4 linked regions of the Xenopus tropicalis genome follow. The protein of the gene in region 2 interacts with the protein of the main gene of each other region in a pairwise test. Links are inferred from orthologs where the notes say so. Each region holds a gene or a part of one and is shown on either strand. Other genes may lie near its edges.

Region 1 (8,603 bases), on a different chromosome or scaffold from region 2:
ATTTTCTGTGATATTTTTGTTAATTTGCGACTTTTTCGTATTTTGCGACAATTTGTGCGACAAAATTGTATTTGTCACGAGTACGAAAGTTTCGGATTCATTCAAGCTTCGGTATCGTGACTTTCCTTGGGCCAGGTTGCAGCTGCAGAGTGCCATTGAGTCCTATGGGAGGCTTCCAAAATCATGCACTGAAGGTTCAAAGTCAGAAAGGTTTTCCCACCGTTTATGATCCTTCAGATACGAACATTGCGTAATTTTCGTATCGTACCACAATATTTTCGGACAAGCATGACCAGACTTTTTCGCAAAATTAACGCCCATCAGAAATTTTCGTATTTAATCCGAATTTTTAGTCAGAATTTTTAAAGTCTGAAATTCGTACTTTGATAAATGTGCCCCCTAAAGGCCAAAATGTATGCTCTTATTTTAAAAAGAAGGTAGAGAATTCAGTTATAAAATCAGAATAAAATCCTTTGACATTTATTGGCCACTCCGGGGTGAACAACTGCCCTCCTGTTTAAGATTCAAACAAACATTAATAGTTGTGTGGAGACAGGAATTTGGAAATTATATTTGGAAAAGTTAGAACAGAAAGCTGAAAATGTAGGAGTTGTGTAATGAAGGCAGAGGACCAATTAGGGCTCTGGCACACGGGGAGATTAGTCGCCCGCAACAAATCTCCCTGTTCGCGGGTGACTAATCTCCCCGAGTTGCCATCCCACCGACGACAATGTAAGACTTACATTGTCGCCAGTGGGATGGCAATTTGGGGAGATTAGTCGCCCGCAAACAGGGAGATTTGTCGCAGGCGACTAATCTCCCCGTGTGCCAGAGCCCTTAAACTGGACAGACCTCTAGTGATAGTGAAATTAGTCCTTTGTAAACAAGTTGCCCAACAGTCAATGTGTGACCCTGTTACTGATTACAGGCAGGTGGGAAGCCAGTTGACCCTAGCTTTCCTTTAGCACATATAGAGAGGAGAGGTAACCCTGACAACTCAATCAGTGTAATTTGGGCATGAAAATGTCTGGTGAAAAATATTTGCAGGTCATTTAGTTAGTTTTAGTTAGTTCTGGAATAGAGTTGCATGTGACCAGTTTAAACTGCATGGAAAGCAGAGGTTTAACAGCAGAGGTAATAAGATGTAGAAAATGCAATACAGCCTTGACCTCAACAGGCTCCCTAAACCTAAATGAGACAGCTCTGTTCCTTAGCCCCAGACATTATATTATTTGAGTCCTGTATTTGTACTACCAGCCGGTATTCATTATCTATGGCCCATGTCATGCTGTTGAAGTGATTGCTGTGTGGTCTGAACAAGTGTTAAAGTGGGCGCAAGCAAGTAATTTGATCTTTTGGGAAGACAAAAAACAGATGAGAGGATTTAAAATACAACACCTCTGTCACTTGCCCAGCCTCATAAATGTGCACATTCAAGTTATTCTGGCTAGAACCTTTTGTCTGCACAGAATCTATGCATATTGTATATAAAAATAGTATTTCTTTAGAAATTCCCTAATTCTAATTTTGGTGTAGTTCTTGAAATAGGTGAGGCCTAGATATAGACTCCAGAGGCTGGAGAGAGAAGCTGATTTAATAAAATTGTATCATGGAGAAAGGAAGTACAGCAGTTACATTTTATATACTGTAAGGAGAGAAGAGCAATGGAGATCCATTATATGGATAGAGAGATAGAGGTTTGGGAGTGTATTAGAGAGAAGAAAAGTAAACATTTTGGTAGAGATGAAAGGTAATGTGGAATGTTACAAATTACTGGGAAGATATATATATATATATATATATATATATATATATTTATATATATATATATTTATATTTATATATATATATATATATATATATATATATATATATACAGAGAAAAACAGAGCACACCCTAATAGTAATCAACTGCCCCGGGTGCTTGCAAAAAACATGTATAAAGCAAGACAGTGAGCCGCACACACAGGGACTTAGTTAGAAAACAAAAAATTTTTATTAATGAAAAAAATCCAACGTTTCGAGCACCGTGCTCTTCCTCAGGGAAAAACCCCTGAGGAAGAGCACAGTTGGTGCTCGAAACGTTGGATTTTTTTCATTAATAAAAATTTTTTGTTTTCTAACTAAGTCCCTGTGTGTGCGGCTCACTGTCTTGCTTTATATATATATATATATATATATATATATATATATATATATATATATATATATATATATATATATATATATATATATATATATATATATATATATATATATATAATGGTTCAGGTCTGATGCATTTATCTTATCATGAAGTAAGGAAATGGCAAATAAATTATGCATTTTTAACGCAGAACCTGCATTTGATGCATATAGTTGTATAAAGTTTATATGTAGGCACAGGTGTTTATACTGCCTATTTTAGGACACACAGAGCTACTTAGTAGGAGCTACTTGTCATGGCTACTAAATACCTTGCTATAGACAATACTGAAAATCGCCTCTGCTAAAACACACTTATAGACAATTATTAGTAAATGATTAGGATTGTCTGTTTCTGTAGCCACTAAAAGTAGCTGTTACTAGTAGCTCTGTATGTCTTCATGCTTAACTATATACCCTACCTTACCAGTGACAGTGCCATTGTCTTTTTTGGATATGGCACAATAAAGAAAATAATAGCAAAACTGCAGCAATGTAATTTATAGTTTGACAGAGAGGTTTTTTTCCCCTACAGAATAATAAATACCCGGGGGAGTCTTGTTTACTCAAAGCAAACCTCTAGGTGCCCATTTACTACTACTGTGCCTTAGCACTTATTGTAACAGAAGGTACACTGCCCTTGCTATCTTTTAAAAGTAGGGTTCACTGTATATTTTGCACAAGCTATTTCTTTTGCTCAAACTGATAAGCATGCAAATGGCATGAAAGAGCACATGATCATAACACCTATATCCACCTAAATTGTAAACGCAATTTGTGCTTGATTTACAAACAGGTGCAAACTTTCCCAATGGTACTTCTGGAAATAAAAAGATATCAAATTAATCTAATTTTCCTTTTGCCCACTGCTGGTAAATGAGGACCTGTGATTTAACTGCATTTTTTAAAGGCGACCTGTCACCCAGTCATAAACATGCACTTAAGACATCATTGTACTGCTCACATCCCCTACTCACTATAATGTAATTATGCAGGCTGTGTATGTGCATCAAGTCCATATTCCAGTGCATACAGCAGATTTTTGAATGATGCAAAGCTTGCGTTAATAAGTATCCACAAAATGGCTCCTGCCTGCTTGCTCTTTATTGTGAATTCTAAGACTGAAGGAAACAAGAATACAAGAGTAATAAAAGAGGGTTTTTAATTATTTCTAAGGGTTACAGGTCTCCTTTAAGTAGATGTTGTCCAAGTTGGCAGCTTATTAGTCTGTGTATGAGGCCTTCGGGAAGGCCTGCCTAACCGATATCTGACCAAAAGTTAGGAAGGTTTGCAAAGCCTGTCAGACAAGGACTGGAATGGCACATTGATGTAGCCAGGTCTCAGTGGGTCCACAGGATGATCATTGAACCCCCCTGATCAAGATTTGGCCCAGCATGATGTTTAGATCAGTGCAACATTCTGAGCAAGAATAAGAAACTATAATGGATCTAATGGACACACAAACCTTCATACAAAACACAGTCCCCAACCCCCACAGCAGGTGCTGATTCACTCTGTTGCCGATACCAGCTTATCTCAGTACAAAGTCCAACTCATAAACAAATAATGACTGCTTCATACAAACCCTGGGGGAGGGAACACCAAATGGACCAGTTGAAAATCAAGGGGTTCATGGCGAAAAGTGTATTGCTTTACACAAACATGTTATTAGAACGAGCAGGCAGTTTATGATTAAATGTGAATCAGCACTTGTTAACTTTGACTAGGCCTCCTTGTTAAACCAATGACACATTTGGTATATCCTAAAATTATCTGGTATCTTAAATAAAAAGACATTTGTTAATTAATAAAAGTGCATGAGAATTATTCAGTCTGAAATGTCTTATAAGAATTCACCCTAGTTGGAACAATGGTGCCCTACATTTTTTATGTTTTCTTAATCTGATGCCCCTCGTTTCCTCGCCTCATCCTTAGAGGTTATTTCTAAGGGCGGTTTCACCTCCCTTTTGTTCCGTGAACAATAAGTAACCCAGTTAGTTAGTTATCAACTCAGAGGAAACAAGAAGCTGGTTGATAATTTATAGCACCTCAACCAATTTAAATGAAAAGTCCATATGAAATGATTTTCATCCTAGGAGACCCAAAACAGACAGATGCCTTGCCTGGCTCATGGCTAGTTGTCAGACTGGATGGTGCTAGAGAACAATGGCTACAAAGCAAAGCATTAAAAGGAAAATGTAAACTTTGAACTATGCTGAATTTGAAAGAAGTCTGGAAAGAAAAGGAGAAAAATGGGCACATTAGAAGGTCATGTCTGAATATTTCTTCCGGGACAAGGCATGTCCTAATACAAAACCTCTGAAGAGAATACATTGCAATTACAGTTGTTTCCAAACCTCTAGGCTGCATATTGGGAGTGGAAAGTAACAAGACATGGAATTTATCATGGTTGATGGGCCTGCTGTACAGCACATTCTATAATTGCAGCGGATGGGTTAACCATTAGAAGTTAATCATCACAAAAGGTAGAGGCCATTTGGTTTATAAATGTTTAAATTATAGAGGATGTGGGTAATTAGTAACCAGTGCGGGCCCCCTGAGCCCAAGTGATCGGCAGAACCCACACTACCTGAAGACAGGGAACTGAACTTACAGCACCCTAAAGAGTGGAAGAACGGGATAACATTAAGAAATGGACAATACCAGAAGAGCAAGCAAAAAGGAACCTTAAAAAGCAAATAATGTTTACACTACTTAAGGATCAATACCCTGGATTTGGATTTTTTATCCAGCAAAACATAAATGCAGTAGATAAAAGAAGCCATGAAAATATCAATGGGCTTATTTCAAGATAAACAAAATTGCTAAATATTGTAAAAATGGACCAAACAATGCCTGAGGTAGAGAAGAAGAAATGTCTCTTTTACTGTCTTTCATCCCAGCTGGCAAGAGAATATTAGAGGGATTTGGTGGAGAAATTGATTGGTCTGTGTTAAACTTGTTTCACCAGGGATTCCTACCCAATTTTCCAACTGAAGATATAGGTATGCCCCTTTATGAACTGCAGTCATCCCAATGGGGCATTTAAGATTTCGACTTTTTTCATCCAATTTGGAGGGAATACATAAACTTCTATGGGAAATGAGCTTTGTTTAGGTGAGTGTTGGTACAGTGGGTGTAGATTTGGGAATATGGATAGAAAAAGGGAAGGTGGAGTGAAAAATAGTGTGAAAGATTACAAGACAGAGAACCAAGGATATCAAGTGTAGGACTAGGTGATATAGAGAAGGCATAAGAGGCACATAGGTCTTACTGCAGTAGACGTTCCACCACGGCCTTCTGATGAGCAGCCTCTTCAGGGCTCAGCCTCTCTAACTCTTTCATAATGGGTGGTGTGAAGTCCCCACCATCATCAGAACTTTCATCTTCTGATATCTGAGGATCCCCTAACCCATTAGGTAGTTGCACACAGTTCTCTCCCTCGTCCAGGTTTCTAATATCATCCAAAGGGACATTGGGATATGTGTAATCTTCACCATCAGCCAATGCTTTTTTCAGAGCCTCCTTTGTCACCCCAGACTCTAACAGAGCCCGAAGAAGCTCTCGCTGCAGGTAACTGAGCTGAGACGCCATCCTCGCTGTTGCCTTCTACTGCCTCACCATCCTGCGGCTCTAACACGGATCAGCGGGCGGGAGTCCATGCTCTACCCACCTTCTGTTTCCTCCTCCCCCCAAAAAACACACTGTACAGCCACAACCAGCAAGTGGTCACCCCCCGGACAGGCTTCTCTGAGACATAGATAAGGGACCCCTGTCACTCTCTGTTTACATCAGAGCAGAGTAAATCCTCCAAGGTTCATATTTATCCCTGTGCTTTGCAAGTTACTGAACTTTGGACCCCAACTCTGCACAAAGTGCACGAGTTAGAGAGGGGGGAGTGCAGAGGAATATGAGGAGGGGTAGAAGAGAGAAGGAAATTCCAAAAGTTTAAGAGAGAAATATTAGGAAATATGGTAAAAGTAAGAGAATGAGAAGGTGAAAGTGGCACAAACCACCAGGTAAAGGACAATGCAACAGAGACGAGAAAAAAAGCTGTGAGTGGCTGAAACCTGAAAGAACTTACATGGAGAATACACATACATAGTAACCTAGTAGTTGAAGTTGAAAAAACACACATTTATCAAATACAATAAATAAATGCATAGAGAAAAATATCGCAAGGGGAACTCGAAAGAAAGACACTGGGAGGAAGGCACCAAGGAGAGAAGGAAAGTGACTACTTTAATTTATTTAATAAAACCCTACCTGATGTTTTTAAATATTGGTCTATTTATGTTTTGTTTTGTTTTTTTTTAACCTAATGGTTTAATTAAAGGCATTATACAACTGTAATTCTAACATTAATGTGTGATTATCCACACACTAAAAGGGTTAAAATAATTTTAGTTAGGAATTTAATCTCTTCCCCAGTTAGATAGTTCTGTTAACAAGGGAAGTCATAGAGACAATAACAACGGTGTCTTATTGATTTACAGTATACTGGAGGTACATCGCTTTTCTGACCTTACAGGTATTCTGTTCATATATAATAAAAGCACATGTGGAATCCACATTTGTGGATTTAAAATATTTAAGTGTATTACTCGCCAGAGTGAAAAATACAATGTAGCAGAATGGTATTTCTCTCCTCCTGTACTCAGGATCGGACTGGGTCAGACCCGATCCCTGTTACCACTCTCCCGGCCACCGATGTCCTCACCTGACACGTTTCACTTACTCGCGTTCAGGAAAGGATGTCTGGCGGGTGGCAGGGGGTGCAGGGGACGCGGGGTACCTTGTGTGTGGGCCCTGCACCCCCCAGTCCGACACTGCTTGTACTGCATCTCCTCAATCTTACAAATGGTGGATTTTTAACTTAAAGATATACAGTAGAGAACTACTGCTACAAATCGTCAGCTGGCAATGACTTCTGGGTGCCCTGGTCAGTCAGCAAGCTACTGCAGGGGAAGAGGCATGTGGCATATTGTACATGTGCTGCTATGCACCACAACACCCAGGAATGAACTTGTCTCAAAAAAACACTTCCGTCATGGAAAACAACTAATCTTTTCACACCTTGCATAAGCACAGCCACTTTGTTTAAATGTAGCATGCTGTGCTTGCTGCTTGCTGCTACTGCTGGGTGTCCTGGCAGGGATAGTGTTAAGTAAATAAAAAGTCTAAGCACTTTATTGTGTAGTTGCGGCTTCAGCTGTCACTACCAAGATCTCTAGATGGCATCATCACAACAAGGGTCACTGTAAAATGAAAAACAAAATTGAAAATTATGAGAGCAGCCTGAGGCCCACCAGCTCTTGGGGGTAATAGGGACAAATGCCTGGATTACACCATAGGATAGCATAGGATATGTGTAACACTTGCAAGTGCAGTTGTGGTCCCCATATTTTGCCAGCAGTTAGTTGCATGTAAAACCACTTTTATTAAAGGTACTTGCATCAAATTGTGCTCCTTCCACTTCTGTATAATTGTGCTCAGAGCCACTCCTCAACACAATTCCTTTCTGCCTTCTGTTCCAACTGCTGCTGCTGCACCTATTGACACAGAGAAACCCTGAAGCTTCTGACCAGACATTAGTTTCAAGGCTCCTTTGCATACAGTGTTAAAAGGTGCAGCACACTTGCGCCTAAAGAATATGGCACAGACGTCACTCGCATGACAAAACTGGATTTCCGTACATTTGTGCCTGGTTTGTACGCAGTTGCACAGAGTTGAGACATAGATTTATTCAGATTTTTCCTGTTGTCAGCAGACCCGACCCTAGCTGGTGCTACCCCTCCCGACCACTCCTCCCCTGATGCGTCAAATTTATGCGTTTGGAGGAGGACGTCGGGTGGGGGGCCCTACGAGGTGGGTTAGGGGGGCCCCTGCGGGGGGGGTTAGGGGATGCGCCTGGCTGGGGGCACCTGCAGGGCCTCTGGAACAGGAGCCCCGGTGGGCCCTTCACCCCCCAGTCCAACCCTGGTTGTCAGCAATGGAACACAACAGAAAAAATAGTTTTCTCTTGATGCGTTTTCAGTTTTTAAATATCTGCTCACAATATAAACATAAAACAGCAATAACCCATCTTCTCCTAAAAACAACAGTCTATGTATAAGTCAGGGGGTGCAGATTGGTGCTATATCTTCGAAAGAAACTGGTGAGTGCAATCTGTACATGGGTATGTGCCTCATGCATCCTACAATTTTTTCTATTCTCTAGTCAGTATTAATAAGCATCTTTGTTTGCCCCATAAATCCAGTTTTACTTTATATTTTAATTTAACCCTTCAAGTGCTAGCAAAGTAGCTGAAGCTGATACCGTGATTTCCATAGGGTTACATGTAGTCAGGTAACACAGAATTTACACATTGTCGTGTCAGCACTGTAGTGTCTATAATGAACATCTCTTTAAAGGTTAAA
Region 2 (8,574 bases):
AGGATTGGGGGGGGGGGTCACGATCTTGGATTTTGTTAGGAGTGTCAGTGACTCTGCACATGCTCAGTGTGTTCTAGGCAGCTGTTGAGAAACTAAACTTAGGGGTGCTAACAAAACAAGTAAATGAGGTTCACCTGTCAGAGGCGGATGCTGCCATGTAATGACAATCTAAACTAGAAAGGGAAGTTTGAGAACAAACTTCATGTTGGGTTGAAAAACGTGAAGTCACTGAATGAAATCTGATCTGTTGTTGGCTCCGCCCACTTTTTCTAACCTTGGACCACAGTTATATAGTAAAACCACTGTGCAAAGTTTGGGGACCCTGGTTTTAATAGTGTCTGAATGGCAGCAATTAAAATTTCCCCACTGAAAGTCAACGAGTGACATCTGATTGGCAGTTGGTGGCTGCAAAGTTTGGGGACCCTATGATTAATAGTTACAGAACGGCAGCAGTTTAAATTTAAACTAATAAAAGTCAACAGGTAAATTGTGGTTGGTGGGTGTACCCACTTTTTCTAACCTTGAGTGGAAGTCACCAAGTGACAAACAGTGGGCACCCTGGCATAAATAGTGTGAGAATGGCAGCATTTTAAATTTAAATCAATACAATTCAATGGATGGAATCTGATTGGCTGTTAGTGGCCCAACCCACTTTTCCTATTTTTGAACTGCAGTCCCCCAGTGACCAACTGTGCAAAGTTTGGGAACTTAGACATAAAAATTGTGAGACTGACAGCATTTTACACTTCACCATTGAAAGTAAATAGGTGAAATGTGATTGGCTGTTGGTGTCTCCACCCACTTTTTGCTAACTTTGAACGGCAAATACCCAGTGAGTAACTCTGGGAAGTTTAAAAACTCTGGAATTAATACTTAAATAATGGCATAAGTTAAATATAAACTAATGAAATTTAATGGGTGGAAATGGGTTGGCTGTTGGTGGCTCCGCCCACTTGTTCTAACCCTGAATATGTAGTCACCCAGTGACTGAATTTGCAAAGTTTGGGAACCCTGACATAAATAGTGTTAGAAAGGCAGCATTTTAAATTTAAACAAAAAAAATTCAATAGGTGAAGTCTGATTGGCTGTTGGTGGCTCCACCCACTTTTTAACACCTAAAAATGCAGTCCCCTAATGGCCCTGGTGTTAATACTGTGAAAATGGCATCAGGTTGAATTTCCCCATTGAAAACCAATAGTTAAAATCTGATTGGCTGCTGGTGGCTCCACCCACTTTTCCAAACTCTGAACCGCAGTTACCTGGTGACTAGCTCTGCAAAGTTTGGAGACCTTAGTTTTAATATTTAAAGAATGGCAGCAGTTTAAATTTAAACACATGAAGTCTATAGGTGAAATCGGATTGGCTGTTGTTGGCCCCGCCCACTTTTCTAAACTTGGAACATAGTCACCCAGTGACAAACTGTGCAAAGTTTGGGGACCCTGACATTAAGCATGTGAGAATGGCAGCAGTTAAAATTTCCCCACTGAAAACATTGAAAGATATGCTTTTGGCGGCCCCGCCCATTTTTCCTAACTTTGACTACGTAGTCACGCAGTGACTGACTGTGCAAAGTTTGGGTACCCTGGCATCAAACCAATAAAATTCAATAGGTGAAATCTGATTGGCTGTTGGTGGCTCCGCCCATTTTTTTTTCAAAACTAAAGCTGCAGTCCCCTAGTGACCAACTGTGAAAAGTTTGGGGACCCTGGGGTTAATACTGTGGGAATGGCAGCAGGTTGAATTTCCCTATTGAAAGTCAATAGGTAAAATCTGGTTGGCTGTTGGTGGCTCCACCCACTTTTTCTTTCCTTGTGCCTAACTCTGCAAAGTTTGGGGCCCCGGTGTTATTACTGTGAGAATGGCAGCAGGTTGGATTTCCACCAAGTCAATAGGTAAAATCTGATTGGCTGTTCACAGCTCCGCCCACGTTTGGGCATCCAACAACCATCATATTTTCATTCAGGCTGACCCCATGACTGTGTGATTCAAGTTTGGGGAGTGTAGCCTCAAAGCTGTAAGATTGGCAGCAGTTTCAATTTCCCCATAAAAGTCAATGGGTGAAATTTGAGTGGCTGTTGTTGGCCCCTCCCACTTTGGGGTCATCCAACAAATGTCGCGGTTTCATTCGGGGTGACCCCATTATTATGTTAATCAAGTTTGGGGAGTGTAGCTGTAAGAGTGGTAGCAGTTTGAAAATCTTCCCTGTCAAAGTCAGAGAAAATTGGGGTGTTCGGAGCGGCGCCACAAAAAGACGGGGGGGGGGGGGATCGCTTAGAAAAGCAAAAGCAACCTGCTCTGCTATAGGGCGAAGATGTGTGGGGAGTTTGGGTGTTGTACCCCTAAAACTGTAGGAGAAGTAGCATTTGGAAAATGGGGGGCACTAAGAATAATAATAAGAAAAAAATGTATATATTTTAAAGAAATGAAACTATAATGTACTGCTGCCCTGCACTGGTAAAAATTGTGTGTTTGCTTCAGAAACATTACTAGAGTTTATATAAACCCTGGTGTGTAGCCATGGGGGCAGCCATTCAAAAGAAGAAAAGGCACAGGTTATATAGCAGCTAACAGATAAACCCTGTAGAATACAATGGTGTCTTATCTGTTATCTGCTATGTAACCTGTGCCTTTTCTCCTTTTTTCCAGCTTGAATGGCTGCCCCCATGGCTACACAGCAGCTTATTTATATAAACTATAGTAGTGTTCCTGAAGCAAACATCCCAGTTTCACCAGTGCAGGGCCACAGTACATTATATTTCAATTACTTTAACACATGGAGCTACTTGAAGCCAGCTACTTGCCCTGACTACAAAATAGACAATACTGTTAATTGTCTCCAAGTGTGTTTTAGCAGAGATAATGTACAACATTTCTAGTCTACTTGTTTAGTTCTCCATTAATGGAAACCGGTACAAAACATATAGCACAAACAGTTATTGGCCTGAAAACATCCAAATGCTTGTCTTCTGGATAGAAATTTACTGCACTGGCGTTTTTAGGTGCTTTCTATCTAAGGAATGGGTGCCAGCAGGGGCACTTTTAGAGTTTCTCCCCTGCACAACAACCACTCCATTTGCCAGTAGCCTATGTGAGAATAAAAATAAATTTATATGTGAACAATCATAGGAGACAAATGTTGCGAGGTAGTTACAGACTGGTAGTGAAATGTTGTCAATATGTGACATAACAGAATAATTAGGAGAAATCATATTAGTCACGATAATATCGGATTGGTGATCCAAAAGTCCTGAAATTTTCGTATACGAACGATCGTAAACAGCGGGAAAACCTTTCTGACTTTGATCGTGCATGATTTTGGAAGCCTCTCATAGGACTCAATGGCACTCTGCAGCTCCAACCTGGCCCAAGGAAAGTCTCCCATAGGGCTCAATGGCACTCTGCAGCTCCAACCCGTCCCAAGGAAAGTCTCCCATAGGGCTCAATGGCACTCTGCAGCTCCAACCTGGCCCAAGGCAAGTCTCCCATAGGGCTCAATGGCACTCTGCAGCTCCAACCTGGCCCAAGGAAAGTCTCCCATAGGACTCAATGGCACTCTGCAGCTCCAACCCGGCCCAAGGAAAGTCTCCCATAGGGCTCAATGGCACTCTGCAGCTCCAACCTGGCCCAAGGAAAGTCTCCCATAGGACTCAATGGCACTCTGCAGCTCCAACCTGGCCCAAGGAAAGTCTCCCATAGGGCTCAATGGCACTCTGCAGCTCCAACCCGGCCCAAGGAAAGTCTCCCATAGGGCTCAATGGCACTCTGCAGCTCCAACCTGGCCCAAGGAAAGTCTCCCATAGGGCTCAATGGCACTCTGCAGCTCCAACCTTACCCAAGAAAAGTCTCCCATAGGGCTCAATGGCACTCTGCAGCTCCAACCTGGCCCAAGGAAAGTCTCCCATAGAACTCAATGGCACTCTGCAGCTCCAACCTGGCCCAAGGAAAGTCACGATACCGAAGCTTGAATGAATCCAAAACTTTTGTACTCGGAGCGACAAATATGATTTTGCCGCACAAGCTGTTGCACTTTTTCTCGCAAAGTAAGAAAAAGTCACACAAATTAACTTAAAAAAAAATAAGATTTTTTTTTTTTATTCAAAAGCTATCATACTTTGATTAATGAGCCCCTAAGTGTCATTAGTATAGAGGCAGTGCTGTAAACCATATGAACTGATTATTTGGCCATGGGAGGAAGCATACAAGGAGCCTATCCTCAACAGAAAGAGATAACCTAGGAAAAAGCCTTAAAGGAACAGTAACACCAAAAATTCAAGTGTATAAAAGTAATTACAATATAATTTACTGCTGCCCTGCATTGGTACAACTGGTGTGTTTGCCTCAGAAACACTACTATAGTTTATATAAAGAATGCAGCTGTGTAGCCATGGGGGCAGCCATTCAAAGGAGAAATGGCACAGGCACTTAGCAGATAACAGATAAAACACTATTGTATTCTACAGAAAGCATCCATTATCTGCTATGTAACCTGTGCCTTTTCTCCTTTTTTCCAGCTTGAATGGCTGCCCTCGGGGCTACACAGCAGCTTATTTATATAAACTATAGTAGTGTTACTGTAGCAAACACACAACTTTTACCAGTGCAGGGCAACAGTACATTATATTTCATTTACTTTAAAACTCTTTAATTTTTTTGGTGTTACTGTTCCTTTAAGAAACCCCTTTTGTATGTATCAGTCATATGCTTTATTAAAAGCAGTTCCTGTCTGTCTTCTTATATTTTCTTCACCACTGGTTCTGACTCCTAAAGCAATGCAGCAGATGCACACTGATTAAGGAGACAAGAACAGATATCTGCTAAAATGTCAGAAAACAACAAGGATAAACGAATATTGTTTTAAATAGCAATTACATTTATAAATCTATTAAAATCGTTGGGCATCTTAATGCACATTGGAAAGTTGCTTCTAATTACATTTTCATTATGCATCGGTTTTGGTGGGTTTAGATCCCCTTTAATGACTTGTTATTGTGGGCGGATTGTTAAAATGAACATACACACAGGATAAAGCTTACATAAACACAAACGAGCAGTAGGATAACCTTTCCTATGTGACTGACATGTGTTTTTCATTTTTGCTCCCTTTCAACTATCCTTTCAGAAAAATGACTCCAGATGTGCCACTCATGTTTTAAATTAGGTTTATTCCTCTATTAGGCAATACTCTGCTATGGACAAAGCTCTTGCACACAATCTATGGAGTCTACTATGGACTGTACAAAACACACACAGTGAAATAACTTGTTATTTACTTAAATAGGTTCTGTCATATCTATTGCCCTCCAGATATTGAGAAATACAGCTGATACCAATGCACTTCTAAAGCTGGTGCAGAATGCTGGGAATTGTAGTTCTTAACAGGCACTAAACATACATTAAACTACACCTTCCAGCATCTTCAAAGACACAGTGGATTATATTAATTAGAAGCCTGCAAAAAGGGCATTTTTGGGCTACAGCATTATCAGTAACAAGGGCATCACACCGACCTACTGCAGTGGCCAATTCATTCACAAATAAGTCCTTTACCTTAACTGTGCTACACATCAATAACAAAACCACAACCATAACTCATTTTTGAGAAGCCATAAGCACATAGAGTGAAAATATTCATATTTAGTGCTACAGGTTCCAATAGATACTCTAGCAAGAGAATATATAGCAAAGTTCATTTCCCTTGGCTTATCATGCTACATTGCTCCCATAGCTACTCATTAACTAACGCACTTTGCCTCCTCTGCTGTGTTGTTTTTCCTTTCAATAATTACAGCAGCCGACTTATTTTTCCATTTGCTGCAATATTCATCTAATAATTGGATTTGAGCATCACCTTACCATGTCTCCAAAAGCAACTAGTGGATCTGCAGTCTCAGTCTCCCCAGCACAATCAGCTCAGCTGTTGCTTCTCCAGCTAAGAGACGGGCAGGGGGCGTGGCTGAAGGGTCCGCCCAATGCAAACACGTGGGGCTGTGACCTCACTGAGGCAGGGAAGGTGATTCAGCGTTGCCCTTACACACATAGGCGACATGTTTCTTTTTTAGAACTACTGACTAGCCCCATCAGTTACAGATATTCCTGGGGGATTTTTGATTTGACTGTATGAAAGTAATGTGATATTAACTTTAAAAATAAAGTAAAAAAAAACAAGAAAAGAAACAGAGCAACAAGAGCCGGAACATGAAACAAAGCTTTTGCATATTATTGTATCTGACATTAGCAGGTCTCTATACTAAGAAAATTTGCAATTTTCTTTAAATTGATATGGTTTCTCAGATATTTATAGTTATATGGTTTTTGTTCTGTAGCTCTTTGGCTTGTAATCAATTGCTATCTGGTTGCTAGGGCTTGACTACTCTAGCAACCAGGCAGAAGTTTAGTGGAATGGAAGATGAATAAGAAAAACAATTCAAAAATATAAAAAGCAATAAAACTGAACCCATGTACACCGTTTGTTATTTTGGAAATAAGCAGAGCTAGAAGATTTAAAAAAAAAAATAATGAAGACCAGGTGAAAAGTTGGTTAAACGCTATGATATACTAAAATTAATTTAAAGGTGAACTCCTCCCAAATGTGATGTGATCAGTTGGTGTGCATGTAACATTTTTTACCCCTCCTCTGGCATAAACTCCCTGTGACATAATAATGTAAGTTTATGCATGAAGTCCACTCGGAGCTCTACAAGCTGGTGCAGTGGCTGATTCACATTTGGACAATCCAGCCATATACAGACAGCCACCCAGGGACCTTCATCTCGGGCACCCCTGCCACAATTAAAGAAGAGGGCTGGGCGGGGGTGGATAAGGGGCAGAGCTGGGGTACAGCCCAGAGTCAAAGGAATAATTTATCCACCCCTGCATTGGTGGGATTACTCATTCAGCATAATCTGTGACTGGAACCATTCAGCAGATTATGGCGTTTTATACTTCAGCTTTATGTAGTTCATTTCTCAAAACAGTTCTCACCACTCTATAAAAACACTTAAACCAGGGCTTTTTTTTTGTGGCTTAAAACAGAGCATGTGCCATTATAATGCTGAAAATCTACAAGGTGTATTGAGGTACATGGGTGTATGGATGTTAACAACACTTTACAGTTTGGGGCCCACTAGGGGCCAGCAATCCAAGCCATGAAGGCCCCCACCCCAATTCTAAACTCTCCCCCAACCACATATCTCTTCTAGCGCTCGCCACAAACCAATACCCTTGCCTTACAGATCCAGGGCATGAAGCGTGCGTGGGGTAGCTGGGCTCCATGAGGGACGGGGCCCACTGAGATTTCCACCAGCCTAGTTTGACCCTGACACTCAGCATTAATAACTGAGGGTTGAAAAGTAAAAGCTTCAATTTCAAATACTGTGTATTGATTAGCAGAATACCTTGCCAAGGTGTTCATGGTACCTTATGGTGTTCTTATATTTGCACCCTTCTCTGCGTGGCTTTCTTTCCATGTTACACTTATGCTTTGCTGGCCTCTGGGGGAACAATTACCTGTAGCCTTGCACAGCTATTCATTATGCTGAAGACCTTTCTGCATTTAATCAATATATTTATAGGTCAAAACTGTATTGCCCTTTTAGATGAACTCAGTGCAATCTTATTATTTCTTTTCTGTTGCATAGATCAGCTCCAGAGAGTGTTAGTGGCACACACCTTTACCATGCCAAATAGCCACCTAGTAGGGTTGCCATGTTTTTCCTACCTATGTTCTCTTCACTGTTCATACATAAATGGATGGCAACCCATCCTGTGTGTATTAGGATCCCCACTGTGAGAAAATGTCATCTTTGCAATGGGCAAGATTAGGGTAGGAGATTAATGTGGGTGGATAAAGAAAATTCAAGCTTTATGTTCTGAATGTCAGCACTTCAGGTTCAGGGGTGCAGCACATTAAGAAACCCTTCCAATGAACTGGCCTAGCCTGCTGCCGATTACTTGGGTTAAAATATTGTGACTGAGCTAAGATGTGTACATATCGCAGAGTATCTTCTACAGTTATGGGATCCCTTATCTGGAAACCTATTATCCATAAATACATTTTTACAAATATTTCCTTTTTCTCTATAATAACAAAAAAACAGTACCTGATGATAACTAAGCTGCATGAATCCGTATTGGTGGCATAATCATCCTATTGGGTTTATTTAATGTTTAAATGTTTAGCAGACTCAAGATATTGTGATCCAAATTACGAAAAGATCCCTTATCTAAAAAAACTTAGGTTCACTACCAAGCATTCTGGATAATAAATCCTATACCTGTACTAGTCCAGAACATCTGTAATGTACATTCACTAATTCAGTAGCAGAAAAGAGGGGCATCGGGAAGCCACCATGTTTTTTGTGAAACTTTCCACAGACAAAATGTAAACAAATTTGTAACATGTTGCATGATCCTTATACATTACTCCTAAAAAGGGTTTCTACCTGGACGGTACTTTACCAGCCTGATCAGGGGCATTTCTGCCCCCAGAGCTACCCTGAGGAAGATCCTGTGATACTGCCCCCAATCGTGTATATTTTCTTGTGGCAGAGGGCTTCCGGTGGGGGGCATATTACT
Region 3 (8,702 bases), on a different chromosome or scaffold from region 2:
TATATTGTTTGCATACTTTTGGACCTTTTCTTCTTAATGACCATTAGAGTGTTAATACTAATTAATGCAGTAGCTATTCTTTAACATTTAAAGCCTGCAGATCGATTTAACAAATATCATGCAGCTTTTGCCTAGAAAAGCTAGAAAATAATTGATCCATGTAAGCAGTTAGAACATTGTACGGATTTTATGTATATTATGTTTTTTTAACTACATATTAATACCCAATTATATAAAGGTTACAATTTAAGGTTTTACAAGATTATTTTCTATATTGCTGTGTTTTTTATTTCTTTTTCTTACTATTCTTCTTCCTTCTGAATTCTCAGCTGAATGCTCCCACTATAGAGGACCACAAGACACATGTTCCTTCCGTAGAAACCTCAGCTGACAGTTTTTAGTGAGACTAATGGCTGCAAGAAAACAAGAAAGGACTGTTGCTATTTTTGATAAGTGGCTAAATGTCACTTGATTGCCAAGCAGTATGCTCCGCCCCAACAAGCAGATGAAATTATATTACTCTTTACAAAATTAAGCTGAACTGTAGCCATGCACAGCAATGCAGGTGTATGACTCTCTCATTAATATACAAACAAAAATAAATGGCTCTTTACATCCACAAAAATACAATTAGCATTTTAGAATTGCACTCAACACATTACTAACACCACCCAACAAAAGCAAGTATGAATGTGGTTGTTAAAAACAAAAACAGCTTGCAAGGAGAAATGATAATGTTAATTAATTAGCCAAATCTATTTTGAGGCAATTCTTTCAGTATGTCATAGAGGGTGTGATTGTGAATGGTTCACATCTGCACACAAAGAGGAAGTGTGGCAGCAGACAAAGAGCTGATTTACAAACATAAGTGCTAAACTGCACAAATGCAGTTGCCAAGAGCAACCAATCAGCAATTAGTTTTAAACAGTCTACTACAAGCTAAAAAATTAAAGCAAAGCTCTGCTTGGTTGCTACTTGTGTAGTTTAGCAGCTATGTTCATAAATAGGGTTTATTTATCAATGAATGTGGAGGAAATTTCCTCCAAACTTCTTATGCATGAACATGCTAACTGGCCTTCGGATTATATGTTTCATAAAGAATCATTCACTTGACTTATCAATAAGTTCTAGTCCTAATAAATATAGCCTTATGGAACAAACAGGTGCAAGCTGCAGCCATTTGCATTATAGTTTTCCTAACTTTTCCATGCTGCTAATAATCCTGACAGGTTGCTTACTTTTATGAAAGTTGTATATGTATTTTAATGCAAATTCTGCAATTCTTCAGTCTGAAGAATTGCAGAATTTACATTAAAATATAATATATAATATAATCCGAAGGCCAGTTAGCACCTGCTCTGGCAAATTTAGTCTGGACTGCACAGTATCATTAAACAGTGGTCCTAACACCTCACTTCTCTGCTAATGGAAATTGATTGGAAATTAATCAGAAAAGCTGTCCAAGATGTTTATACTATTAAAAAAGTTAGTTCTGAAAGTGTATAATTATTCCACTTACCAACTATGAAATTATTTCCTGCTCACGTCAGTAGCACTAAACAAAACATATAACCTTCCTTGGAGGACTCAATTTTGTAGAATTTGGAGTAGTTATTCAACATAAGCAGAGAAAAGAAAGTTAACTGCTAGAAGTTGAATTATCCTTTTATTCATGTAGGACCAACATGTTACTCAGAATTTTTACATACATACATTTAACAGAGATTGTTTATTCCTATTAGTCCCAGTGGTGCTTTCAGCTTAAGGTACCTTTCCCACAAACTAAGTAAATGTATTAACCTCTTTTTCTTAATCCATAGAGATATAGGTAGACTTACAGCTTTATGGGGGCAGAAGGTATTTAATTTAGAAAAATATGCTCCTTCTTTTTCCTGCTGTCCTGCTTGGGAAGTTATCTAAGGAGAATGCACTCATACACTACATGCATGGCCCAATGTCCATTTGACTTATAATCATGGAACAGAATCAGACTGACTGCAGGAAAGTATTTCTGCGCAGTAGGTGTATATTTGTTTAGACTGTGGGACTAGGCAGGAGTTTAGAGATCTAACTTGAGTGTGTAGAAAGGTGAGCATATGGCTAAAGCACACACGGGCAGCTGGCACACACACACACACACACCTGCAAAATATACAACATGAGTCCTTTCTCAGCTGCCAGAAAAAAAGCCTCTGCAAACAGTCGGCAACAATCAAACAGAAAGCAAAGACCCAAAGCCCGAGCACTTACCTGTGTAGGACTATACAAAGACTACAACTAGCTATATGGCGCTATATTAGGGTAGTAAGTCTCCTTATTTCACAATAGCTATGCAGAGAGGACACAAGGAGAATCAGCTATAGAAGAACCTTACTGTATGTGAGCAGTGCACACGAGTTATAGTGAAACAACAAAACATAAACCTATCATTGCTTTCCTTAGTTTAATGCAAGCGTGCGTGTCATGCAGTTGCACTACAACTACAGTCGCGCCACCTGAGAAGCTAAGAAGACACGTTGCAGCTGCAGTATCTGAATGGCTAAAGGTGGCCATTCTCCATTAAGAATAAAACTGAGATACTGTAGTCGCCTGCTAATAAGCGATCAGACTGAAAATCTGAGGGGTTTTCCAGAGAGATCGTTTGATCGTTGCCAAGCTCTATATTAATAGCAACGCACGACTGATTCATGAGTGACCCCCAAGGTGTGTCCTCTGTCTATTCAGGACTCACGGTCAAACACATAAAGAAATAACTGATTTCGGTCATTGCTTCCTTTGTGTATCGAGTAGTTTTGGTGAATAAGCAGCTTGCCAGCTCCGAGTTACTTTATAACAGGATAGTTTTTATCGACCCCTTGATACAGGTACCAACTAAAACGGAAACGGAAATTCCAATTCTATGAAACCTGCAGTAGCCATTCAGTAACATTCCACAAATAATATGTAAAAGCACACAGAATGATCCACTTTAAAATAAGAGATACCTTGTTTATGAGAGTGGCAAAGGCTAGACTCTGCCTGTAACCAGACATCGGAATAAATACGAGCAAAGGCCAATAAATCGTATATAATGTTGATGCTGTCACCCAGCGCAGTCTGCCCCAAGAGCTTTCCCTTCTAGCACTTGCCAATGAATAACCAGCGTCTCTATTCAACCAAACCCCAATCCTTTGTGTATCTTTCTGTTGATGATTTATAGAAATAAATTAATAACCGGACACCACGTGCTTCAGTTTATAATGTATTCTCTCCAGCAAAATAACCTGCACATATTGCTTTAAATTACGTTACATCTAAAGATACCTACAGATACACAACGGATAAACAACCGTAAATTAAAACACTGTTGCAGTTTAGAGGTCAATGTATTGCATGTAGATTTTTGTGTAATTTAATAAAATGTAACGTAATACAGATAATAGTAAATGGGTGTATTAATATTATCTTTAAATATATATATTATTCATGTTCCTATACTAAATTACAGTACAAGAAAATATAAATTTAAAACATTTCTAAAGTTGCCGAAGTTTCCAAGGCCTTCGTACCACTCCAATAATATTGATAGTGTTCGATGTTGATGTTTTAATATTGTCTCGTTTTGTTGCAAAACTAATAGTAACAATTTATAAAAATAGAAACTTACATATACCATTTTCAAAATTCGAATTATACAATAAAGGCATATGTGCAATTATACCTACAATATATTTACAGAACAATGCCATACAGGTACATTAGACATATATTTAGTTGTAAACCCCATGGGAGCGAAGCTAACTTACCTCTGGGAAAGTACACAACTTAATCAGGCCTGCCGATATAGTATTAGCATTTTAAGTTACTACCAGTAGTTAATAATAAATAACGTGGTTGTATTTCGTTGATATTTTGCTGAAGAGAAGGAATAATAAACTATTTGGATAATTAGTAACTAGGCTGTCAGATTAGGAGATCTGGCGGTTGCCTTTAACTTCTGACAGTGATGTGGTACCTACACCAAAAAACGCTTGTTCCAAAAATTAGAGAAATGCTGTTATATGTTAAAAACATTTCTAACTTTAAAAATCGTGCACTTGGTAAAATTGTGTTGAACGAAATCTTGTTTATCAAAAGCCACATTAATGTCTGGCTTTTTTATACGCATTTGACATACAATCATTTTTTTAGTACCAAAAATTACGTTTATATCTAACCTATAGATATATTTGGACATCTTGGTCAGTATCCTAAGCGCCATTAAAATTACAATTTCACTATACAACACAACAAAGGGATGCTAGCGCTGTGATGAGAAATTAGCTAAATAGATCGATATTTATAGAGAGACACACATTTATGCTGGGGTTGTCAATATGATCATCAATAGCACAAGTAAATCGTGTGTTTAAACTCCTAGAAACAAAACTGTGCTTTCAAAACGAGTCCTGGTTTAGAAATGCTAAATATGATTAAAATATAATACGGCTGTCCCTGGGCTCTTACCTCAACATCCTGTCCACTTCTGCCCTTTGCTCTGCTGCCTCCTCCGTATTGAGGGACTGCAGTTCTTTTAGGATTGGAGGGGTATCAAAGTCATCTCCATCCTCTGAGCCCTCATCCCCGGAGAGCTTGCCCTTGTGGTGGTGCCCATTGGTGAGAGTGTGGAATACAGGCTTACTGTCAGCCTCATGTTCCGGGGACATGTGCAAGTTTTCCAGCTTCACCCCAAAGCTTGGGCTGGGGATCATGTCTTCCAAGGCCTGGATCAGGTCCTCTTTGGTTACTCCAGAGTTGAGGAGAGCATTGAGGAGTTCCTGCTGCAAAGGCGATAGCTTGGATACCATTTTAGATGAAAGAAAATAAGGAAAAGGGATAGGGGAGGAAAAAATAAAATCAAGGGATCTGGAATCCCCTTGTCCCAGAGCACCTGTTCCTCTTGTGCTTACAGAGAATCTCACTGCTGAGAGTCTGCTCAGTCTAACTGGCCATGATCTCCTTCAATGGGCAATATAACTCATGCAAATCAGTGGGAAGGCTAACACAACATACAGGATGCAATGAAAGGAGGAGGCTGGGCTCGATTCTCCCTGGTTATGCTTCGACTACAAAGTCTTTTATTGGTTTTGTTTATCGGCCAAACTTTAAGTGAACTTTGGACCTGTTAAGCAAGAAGCCATGAAGTGCAATTAAAATAGAGAGAGAGAGAGAGAGAGAACGAAAATCATAAAAACTCTCACACATATAAACACACTGAAACATTCAGACACTCACACATACAGTCACACATATATTCACATTTACACACACACAGAAACTTACATGCAGTTACACGCATTGACATTTATACACACAGACTTATGCAAGCAATACAATCCTACCCGCATACTTATAAACACATTCACATCTATATACACAAACACATATTAAAATTACACATACCCAGAAACACAAATACATATATGCACTGTTATACACATATAATAACCCACAGCAAATATAAACGCTTATTCATACATATATGATTTAGACAAAGAAACATCAAAATAGTTTAAAAAGATCAGTTGTACAAAAAAAGTGACAGATCTTTAAGAAAAACTAATTGCAGTGATTGGCCTGGAAACTTTTTAGTATATACAAATATACATTTTAATTAGTAAAACTGAGTAAATTCTGTTGGTGTTTTGGAATATTATCTCATATTTAAAGGAGAAACAAAAAAATGCACAGTATTGGCTGCTTATTTTTCACTGCTGTGCTGGGAACAGTGTGAAATGGATCTCCTATGGTCAACCAGAGAACCTGGTTAATTACATATAGCTAAACCTAAGGTTATTGGCATTATATAGGTTATGGCGCAAATATTAAAGGGCCGATGGGTATTGTCCTTGGCTGTGGCACAATGGGAGATACTCTGGTACTTTGGAAAGACAGTCAGATCATGTCTTGGCACCTGTATCACTGCATTATGGCTAAGATTTTAGCTATCCTTTAAACATAGCTTTCTGCACACAGGTTTCATCCCATTTTGAAACCCATTGTTTACCCCTTCAGTAATTTGATTCTTTAATAGTATTGAGAAGGGAGTGATTGAGATAAGGGACACGTTCACTAGAGGTCAATATTTCCTAATTTTAAGATGGAATTTAAATGTTTCTTACAAATGTGTAAATACTATTTTAGAAAGAAAAATGTACAGTATTTATTGACCTTTTTTCCAGTGCTAATAGCTCATATTGGCACTAAAAGCACTGTAATTTAAAATGGCATGTGGGTGAAATAATCCAATGTCGGTACAGAAAGTTAGAATGTAAGAAAATGTGTTTTTGTTTAAAAACAATGAGCTAACAATATAAAGCCACTACTGCACAGAAGCGCATTTAGCTGTATATATGGCAGTGTACAATAACTTGCCCCCTTTTAACGAAACCACGTTTTTTTAAGTTTAGCAAAGTGATAATATCACTTTTGGAAGTAATTAAGTCCCCAATTTTAGTGAATAGGGAGTAATCAAAAAATAATAATTCACAATTGTAGTTGTTAAACAGAAATAGCAAGGCAAAGGAAACAACCTCATAGCATTTTTAAATATGTGATTTCATGAAAAATAAATGTATAAAGTGACATAACAGTCCAGTACTTATACAAGTGCATGGATATAAACCGTTGGCTAATGGTACTCAGTTAAAACTAGTCAAAACGATTAATTGTATAATTTATCCAAACATTTTGCATAGATGTTTTTCTTACAGGTTGTCATCGGCAAGGGATTACTGTAAAGTGTACAACAGTTTCAAATTACTGAAGGGACGGAAATAGTTAAAATAAAAAACAATACAGTACAAAAAGAGACTCTGGTCATATATAATTCAATTGTGTTTTATTAAGCAGTATTTGTAACTTAAAAAAAAATCCTTGTTAAACCAAATAAAAATTTATAAACCCCTCGATCGCAGCAGAGTCGCAAAAACAGATAGAATGCCGGGTTGTCTGAGCTGCAGACCACCTCATTTGATCAGTTTATGGATAATGCTGTTATCCGGACCCAAGCTAGAACAGACTGTTGAAACAATCCCCTGGCTACAAGTAAGCAGTGTCATTGTGAGCAGGTCCTAAGTCAGTCACTGGGTGCATTGTGTGTACAGCAGTCTGATTGTTAGGATTAGAAATATTTATCTGCTCAAATGACACACGTGTTAATGAGATAGAAAGGATAAACGAACACTGTCTGTATTCATTTATTCCAAGCTAATAACATTTTATCCAAACAGGCAATCTTGACTTTGACAAGATAAATTCTGATGATTTACTTCCAAACTAAAAGATGGACTTATATGCAAAACAACAGAAAACAAACAATTGTTTGGGGTGAGCCGAGTGTTCTAGAATTCATACCTCTTATGAGGTGACTAAATATTTTCACATTTGATGCATTTAATCATGTTGATACATTTTACGTTAGTCTATAAAATGACTAGAAACCCCTGCATTAATTGCTACAATGTTGTAGAACAGAGCGACTGATCTACTTACAACAGAATTCACAAATTAGCAATTAACAAAAATATCAAATTCACTGTTAGCAAGCAGTTTTAAATAAAATCGGCGATCTACAAGGGCTGGGGAAATATGTTTAGATGCAGTATAAATTGTTACGTGTATTTCAAAGGGGACTGCAGAGGTTACAAGGAGTTAATGATCCCAGGTGAACTCAGGGCTTCCCATGCTGCACTACCAAACCTGGTGGTTATCAATATTTGCGTTTCCTGCGCGGTGAGGGTTATATCAATAGGTATATAAATATTATATGCGCAGCCACTTGTTGCCTCCCCATTGGGTGCAGTACCTAGTTTCTACCCTGATTCCCACTACTGTTCTGCCTTCACCCTCTATTCGGCTTTCCCAGTAATATCTCACACAGGCAGCGGTGCGACTTTCGCTGAGGTTCCTATTCCCCCTGTGCGACGTTGCAGGGCAAGCAGTCTCCCAAGCCACCCCTCGCAGCCCAATGTCCTAGCAGGGCCACCTGTGCCAGGGGCAGCGACAGCTCTTGCCACCGAGATTCTTTGTACCGCAGGGGGAGCAGAGCTACTGGGACTGTGGGGAGGGCGGGGGAGAAGTTTGCACTTGGTGACTCCACTTGTATCATTGATACTTATTGTTTCCCTAAGTGTTAGGGATTTATGGCTTGTGGGCGGGAAGGTTTGTCTGCTTCCCAACACCTGGATGTATTAATAAACTAGGGCTGCTATATTTAAACTGGCAATTTATAACTAAATGATGTCCAGTATATCGCTGGCAGTCAGTTTTTTTTATTTAAGTCTTCGCTAAGATGTGTTCAAACAGCGCCGCCTGTAATTACGGCCTGGCCCGGGGCACTTATGGGTGGGTAACGCTGCCCCCACTGGGTAAAATAGGGCAATGCAGAGAGGCACAACCTGTTCTACTCTCTTAGCTTTATTCATATGGTATAATGTATGTGTGTATGTATATCTTTATTTATAAAGCGCTACTTATGTACGCAGCGCTGTACAGTAGAATACATTAATACAAACAGGGGGTTAAAGATAATGGATAAATACAAAGTACAACAATAAATACAAATACAAGGTACAGTTGCAATAAGAGTCAGAAACAAGAGGAAGGAGGTCCCTGCCCCGTAGAGCTTACAATCTATATGGGAGGGGTAACTAACAGACACAAATGGGCAAATGTAAGTGCTG
Region 4 (7,045 bases), on a different chromosome or scaffold from region 2:
AACTCTGAGTATCACTCATGTATTATAAGGGATAATGTACCCCCTACTGTAAATGATAAGGATATTAGCAGTCACTGAGGGGTTCTGTGCCCATATAAAGGCACAAGGCTGCAGGCTGAGTTATACAGGGAACTCTGAGTATCACTCATGTATTATAAGGGATAATGTACCCCCTACTGTAAATGATAAGGATATTAGCAGTCACTGAGGGGTTCTGTGCCCATATAAAGGCACAAGGCTGCAGGCTGAGTTATACAGGGAACTCCGAGTATCACTCATGTATTATAAGGGATAATGTACCCCCTACTGTAAATGATAAGGATATTAGAAGTCACTGAGGGGTTCTGGGCCCATATAAAGGCACAAGGCTGCAGGCTGAGTTATACAGGGAACTCTGAGTATCACTCATGTATTATAAGGGATAATGTACCCCCTACTGTAAATGATAAGGATATTAGCAGTCACTGAGGGGTTCTGTGCCCATATAAAGGCACAAGGCTGCAGGCTGAGTTATACAGGGAACTCTGAGTATCACTCATGTATTATAAGGGATAATGTACCCCCTACTGTAAATGATAAGGATATTAGCAGTCACTGAGGGGTTCTGTGCCCATATAAAGGCACAAGGCTGCAGGCTGAGTTATACAGGGAACTCTGAGTATCACTCATGTATTATAAGGGATAATGTACAGTAACCTTATCAGTGGGCTACGCTCACCTTGCACCCCCTGCTGTGTTAGTTGTGACAGTGGTTGGACAGGGGGGGCTTGAACTAGTAAAAAAAAATAAAATCTTCCTTAGATTAATCTGCCAACTCCAGTCTGGAGTTAATATGGAAATGCTGAATCCTTCCAAACACATGTTTGTAGGAGATATGTTTATTGAGCTTTATTCAGTGACAAAAAAGTTGTTGGCCTAAGAGAAGCACCAAGGAGCCATATTGAACTTACTCTCTCCCTTAGTACTTTTCCCATTAGCAATACGTTACTTACAGGGAACTTTCTCACAATTAATCCTTTCACAGGGGACACACTCCAATCGCTCCATCCCTAATCGCTCCAAGTTCCTTTCAATACTGCAGAGCAAGCAAGGCCCAGCTTTCCAGAGGGAAGGGAACCTATTTAGAATGTTTTTCTTCTTCAGAAAGCTATTGTATTGGTCTTAGATCCATTCATACAATGGCAACTATGTATTTCTATATTCCTGCTGGTGCGAGTCTATGATGGCTTAGGTTTCTGCCTCCATTGTTGTCATATCTCTCCCTTATGGGCAGCACCTAATTGTTCCATATGGGAGAAAAAAAGGAAAGTTGTGACCAGCCCAACTGGGACCAGTACAGGCAAGACTTTAGCTGAACTTACACCTTGGTCTCTCCATCATCAGTGCCGCCTGGGCAAGCAAATGCCATGTACAGAATTTTTTTGCCAAGGTATGTACTGTGCAAGCTCCAGGACTGAAGATTGCTGGGGAACCAGGAGAGCATGGCAATGTGGAGCTGAGACTTAAAGTACCCCATACTGGTGCATAAAGTGCCGCCATCAGAAACTTTGGGGCTCCATACAAGTTATTCATATGGGGCCCCCATGAACACAAGCCTCCCCTTGTGTGTGCAACAGCTGATGTTACTCTGTAATAACAGGTTCATATAAAGAGGTCCATTGATTAATGTACTAATAGATTCAATTTTCAGCAAATAATTTTTTTTTTTTTTTTAAATGATTCCACTTTCTCTGTAATAATAAAACAGTACCTGTACTTGATCCCAACTAAGATATAATTACCCCTTATTGGGGGCAGAACAGCCCTATTGGGTTTATTTAATGGTTAAATGATTCCCTTTTCTCTGTAATAATAAAACAGTACCTGTACTTGATCCCAACTAAGATATAATTACCCCTTATTGGGGGCAGAACAGCCCTATTGGGTTTATTTAATGGTTAAATGATTCCCTTTTCTCTGTAATAATAAAACAGTACCTGTACTTGATCCCAACTAAGATATAATTACCCCTTATTGGGGCAGAACAGCCCTATTGGGTTTATTTCATGGTTAAATGACTCCCTTTTCTCTGTAATAATAAAACAGTACCTGTACTTGATCCCAACTAAGATATAATTACCCCTTATTGGAGGCAAAACAATCCTATTGGGGTAATTTAATGTTAATATTATTTTTTAGTAGACTTGTGAACGGTGATCCAGATTATGGAAAAAACCCTTATCCGGAAAATCCCAAGTCCCAAGCATTCTGGATAATAGATCCCATACCTGTATTTATCCACAGACAGTCCTAACTAGGGACAAGAAAACGCCTCTCTGGCTTCTGTAGGTACCTACAGTGAACGCCCATCACCAATGATTCCCCTACAGCCCCACCAGTTACATACACTGAGGGGCCACTCTCTGCTTACAGGTGGCACAATCATTGTTTCAGTTATTTCCAGAAAAATGCGCCCAAGATAATTATAGGACTATATGCTCAGATGGAGGGCTGAAGGATTTTGGAGAAATCTGGGGCATGTTTTCACTCTCGTTTTGCTAAATACGCTCCAGAGATTTGTGTAAAACATGTAGTATGGGAATCCTGATGTCTGATAAAAATGGCAATAAAAATGAGTTATGCATAAACGAACCCTTAACAGTAATCTAATGATAAAAATATTCTTTTCTGAGCCCTATTTCTGGTTAGTGTTCCATCTGTCACTGAGCCTTCCATCCATTTTCCAATATGTTGTGCAAAAGGTTCTACTCTCCATCCCCAGGGTCTCCCAGCTCTTACACAATGAAGCGCTGCAACAAAATCTCTTTCTCTTCCAAAAACATTTTGAAGACTCAAAGTGGCAGCCGCTGTTCTTCTCAAACCTCAAGTGGAGAAATGTCAGATTTGTGCAAACCTATGAGATCAGTTACCATATTTCTTACACTTCAAATGTACCCAATAACCCAAAGAATAAAAACGTGGCAATATGTATTTGTAAATCAGTATAATTCTCTTGGCATATGGTACTCGCCATACATCTAAATCAATAAAGCAATAAAATTGAGCTTCACTTGTGTGTTTTTTTACTTTCATATAGGACATCTTTTATTGTGCTTATTTATTTCACTTACTGTATAACAGACTTTTCTTAAGAACATGGGCAAATGAATACGGTTTCATTCAGAGCAATCCTGACCCTTGTCACTGCATATTAACCCTATAAACTAAGCCATCATGGTGACTGAATGGGGACAAGAATTTTGTTTTTGCAAACAGATCCAGGAGCTCTGCTAGACAATTTTTGCTATATTTCTTCCGGTTAGGATATTAAATTCTTGGATATTAGGATATATGTTGATTTTATTTGCGTCACTTTGAAGCTATTCGTGTTTCCTCTTCCCATTATAGCCACATCTTCTATTCAGGCTGGCTTGCCACAATATTTCACTACAGCCGTCTTAATTTATATTATAATCCCAAACGAAAGGACAGAACGGGATGTGGTCTGACAGATCAGGAGCGCGGTATACCGTTACTGGGTCATGGTCAGTTGTAAATGGACTGACCACAACCCAAATATTGCTGTGACATTATATAAAAGTATGCAGTCATGGTTGCTCCCCTTCATTAACTTCATTTCAGTAACCAGTCCAAATTATTTCAGCCAATAAGGAGCACATACCAAGACACCTATTTTCAGTCAATGTTGTATTGCTGCAGTGCTGTACAGCACTAATCAAGGTAGATAAAAGGCTTGTGGCAGCCTGAAATGTATCTGAATTTTTTCTGGCAATTAGTGCCCTACAATTCAGCAGGAACAGCCTCCTAAGCTTCACAGAGACAGCGTATAACTGTGGCAGAATAGATATCCCTACACAATTCTGCAAGACTGTCCCCTATGTTTTTCTATAGCCAGCAGAAACATACCATAAAAAATATGCCACCGTTATGTATTGCCGTAATTGCTGCAATATTTGAAGGTATAGTTGCCCTTAAAGTACCAATTACTGCCAGCGCTGGTGAAAAACATTGTATATAAAGTAGAGCTTTCAGATGGAACTGCTTAATCCGGCAGGCACAGGGATTAAATTCATTTTATCTGAATTTGACACCCAAGTGCAACTCCTGGAACACTCGGAGAGATGAATTAATCATGTGGACTGGAAACTTTAAGAACAATGGCTTCTTACTTCCTCAGCCACAGTGGGCATTGCTGCTTTCACAAAACCTTTCAATGATTTGTGAATCAGACTGTTGCGTCACCAAAGCGTTCTGTAAACTCTGCCAAGGAATATACTGTGCCCCATCCAACCTCAGGGTTCATGCTGATAAAATCGCCCAAGTTCATTGTGGATTCTAGAAAGAAAAACAATTAAGGGAATGGAAATCTAATTAAACTGGAAGAACACATATGTGCTACACTAAAATGCTGTATCTTGAAAGGTCACTTTAATCTAAGATTGTAACACTGTAGGAAGGTGACGAGAATTAATAATAAAGGCGGTGGCTAGCCTGAGAGACAATGGCACGGCTAATAATTATCAGTAGAAATAAAAAGCAGAAGGAAAATATACTATTCACAATCACTTTGGGGGAAGTACGTCCCACCAATATATAATTAATTTCTCCCGATTTTATATTTTCTGGTTTTTACACCAATTTTTACTGGTTCCCTAAAATGTAAAATGGGGGTTTTATTGTATAGGCTACAGCTGACTGATAACTCTCTGTGCTGGCTTTGAAAAAACCTAGAGAGCTATCCCTGCTAAACCCCAAGTGGCGGAGTCCAATGGAGAGTAAGATTTTTTTAGACCAGTTTTGCTGATGATGCCTGTTATGTTGTGAAGCACCTACCCAACTGCTAGGCCATACCCCAATCTGTGTTCTTAAAGGGAAATTATAACATGATAGGGTTTGGATACTTGTGGCCTGCCAGTCATCCCATAGGCAGGCACATACACGGGCAGATATGCTGTCTGAAGTGACCTTTAGTCACTTATAGAGAAGGTCAGATTACTTGTGGATAATAACTTTAGCTGTAGGAAGTAAAGCCAATCAGAAGCAGAAAGGGTCAGCAACGTACTGTCCCGTATTTTATGAGTATAAATTTACAGAGGTTCTTAGGGTTCATGGAAGAGAGGGTGATTCTCCCCCTTTACAGAGAACTGGTAATGTCCCATCAAGCAACTGCAGTGACGGTTTGGTCTGCAATACTTAAAGGAACAGTAACACCAAAAAATGAAAGAGCTTTAAAGTAATAAAAATATAATGCACTGTTGCCCTGCACTGGTAAAACTGGTGTGTTTGCTACAGTAACACTACTATAATTTATATAATAAGCTGCTGTGTAGCCATGGGGGCAGCCATTCAAGCTGGAAAAAAGGAGAAAAGGCACAGGTTACATAGCAGATAACAGATAAGCTCTGTAGAATACAATAGTGTTTTCTCTGTTATCTGCTATGTGCCTGTGCCTTTTCTCCTTTGAATGGCTGCCTCCATGGCTACACAGCAGCTTATTTATATAAATTATAGTAGACTTTTTGAAGTAAACACACAACTTTTACCAGTGCAGGGCAGCAGCACATTATATTTTAGTTACTTTTATACACTTTCATTTTTTGGTGTTACTGTTCCTTTAAAAGAGACATTGCTCAAAATAAAAGAGCCCAGAGTAGAGCAAATAGGCTGATATGAGGTATCCAAGTTCTTAGTTCTAAACAAAAGGCTGGACAGTTGTAACTGTTTTCAATGGTGAATAGGAGCTTAAGGAGGTAGAGTTGTAATGATGCAGAGTTACTTGATAAAGTGTCTGTAATCGTTTGGATCAGTGCTGTCCAACTTCTGCGGTGCCGAGGGCCGGAATTTCTCTAGCATACATGGTGGAGGGCCGCTAATTGAAGCCAGTGTTGGCCACTCCCCCTTTTTTGAACCACACCCACTTCGAGCCACACCCATTTTATCACAATGGTGGTAGTGCAGCAAAAACCCAAATGTTTGGTCCTCACTCCAGGGATATCACCAGTTATTCATATATGAAAGAATTATATTATGTCATATTAAGACACACCCTTAAATCCATATGCCTCCTCCTCCCCTGTGGATAGCACAGCAACCCTCAGCAACATAATTACACACCTTAGGGACCATTTAATGGCTGTTTCCAACTACTAACAAACTCCCAGAACAAACCCCTGCCAGGTTCACCTTTCACAGGCAGCATAGGGCAGGCAGAGTATGGCACACAGACAGCACTCTGCCTCCCTTGTGCCATAAGCTCTTTTGGGCAGGGTCCTCTTCACCTCTTGTATCGGTTATTGGTTCATATGTTACTCTGTATGTCCAATGTATGAAACCCACTTATTGTACAGCTCTGTGGAATATGTTGGTGCTTTATAAATGAATGTTAATAATAATAATACTCTGCCTGCCCTATGCTGCCTGTGTGTGCCATACTCGGCCTGCCCTATGCTGCCTGTGTGTGCCATACTCTGCCTGCCCTTAGCTACCTGTGTGTGCCATACTCTGCCCTATGCTGCCTATGTGCCATACTCTGCCCTATGCTGCCTATGTGCCATACCCTCCCTGCCCTATGCTGCCTATGTGCCATACTATGCCTGCCCTATGCTGTCTGTGTGTTCCATACCCTCCCTGCCCTATACTGCCTATGTGCCATACTCTGCCTGCCCTATGCTGTCTGTGTGTGCCATACCCTCCCTGCCCTATACTGCCTATGTGCCATACTTTGCCTACCCTATGCTGCCTATGTGCCATACTTTGCCTACCCTATACTGCCTATGTGCCATACTTTGCCTACCCTATGCTGTCTGTGTGTGCCATATTCACAGGCAGCATAGTCCAGGCATTACATACAATTTTTGAGGTGTGAACAGGTGAACAATGTGGATGATTACAGCCTGAGCCTGAGGTGTGAACACTGCAAGGGGTGAACAATGCAGAAACTAAAAGGTGTGAACAACACAGGGGATTACATGTTTAAACAATACAGGGGGATTACAGCAGTTAATCTCAGTACTGATACTATTTTAAGTTTACACAAAGGTAAGCC

What was found.
Region 1: the proteins of pcbd1 (region 2) and hnf1a interact in binary tests that used the Homo sapiens proteins (3 or more experiments, as listed by UniProt). The link is inferred for Xenopus tropicalis from reciprocal best matches to the Homo sapiens genes PCBD1 and HNF1A.
Region 3: the proteins of pcbd1 (region 2) and hnf1b interact in binary tests that used the Homo sapiens proteins (3 or more experiments, as listed by UniProt). The link is inferred for Xenopus tropicalis from reciprocal best matches to the Homo sapiens genes PCBD1 and HNF1B.
Region 4: the proteins of pcbd1 (region 2) and wdyhv1 interact in binary tests that used the Homo sapiens proteins (3 or more experiments, as listed by UniProt). The two-hybrid records come from large-scale screens. The link is inferred for Xenopus tropicalis from reciprocal best matches to the Homo sapiens genes PCBD1 and NTAQ1.

The regions. Positions count from the first base shown.
Region 1 is NC_030677.2:151,971,630-151,980,232, reverse strand, and holds the start of hnf1a (hepatocyte nuclear factor 1-alpha), read right to left. Parts: upstream 5,902-8,603; 5' UTR 5,779-5,901; coding exon 5,459-5,778; intron 1-5,458. UniProt on the Homo sapiens protein: Transcriptional activator that regulates the tissue specific expression of multiple genes, especially in pancreatic islet cells and in liver. Binds to the inverted palindrome 5'-GTTAATNATTAAC-3'.
Region 2 is NC_030683.2:47,452,159-47,460,732, reverse strand, and holds the start of pcbd1 (pterin-4-alpha-carbinolamine dehydratase), read right to left. Parts: upstream 5,923-8,574; 5' UTR 5,857-5,922; coding exon 5,854-5,856; intron 1-5,853. UniProt on the Homo sapiens protein: Involved in tetrahydrobiopterin biosynthesis. Seems to both prevent the formation of 7-pterins and accelerate the formation of quinonoid-BH2. Coactivator for HNF1A-dependent transcription.
Region 3 is NC_030678.2:74,715,400-74,724,101, forward strand, and holds the start of hnf1b (hepatocyte nuclear factor 1-beta), read right to left. Parts: upstream 5,152-8,702; 5' UTR 4,827-5,151; coding exon 4,486-4,826; intron 412-4,485; exon of another isoform or gene 366-411; coding exon of another isoform or gene 304-365; intron 1-303. UniProt on the Homo sapiens protein: Transcription factor that binds to the inverted palindrome 5'-GTTAATNATTAAC-3'. Binds to the FPC element in the cAMP regulatory unit of the PLAU gene. Transcriptional activity is increased by coactivator PCBD1.
Region 4 is NC_030682.2:139,836,396-139,843,440, reverse strand, and holds the end of wdyhv1 (protein N-terminal glutamine amidohydrolase), read right to left. Parts: intron 4,336-7,045; coding exon 4,226-4,335; 3' UTR 2,967-4,225; downstream 1-2,966. UniProt on the Homo sapiens protein: Mediates the side-chain deamidation of N-terminal glutamine residues to glutamate, an important step in N-end rule pathway of protein degradation.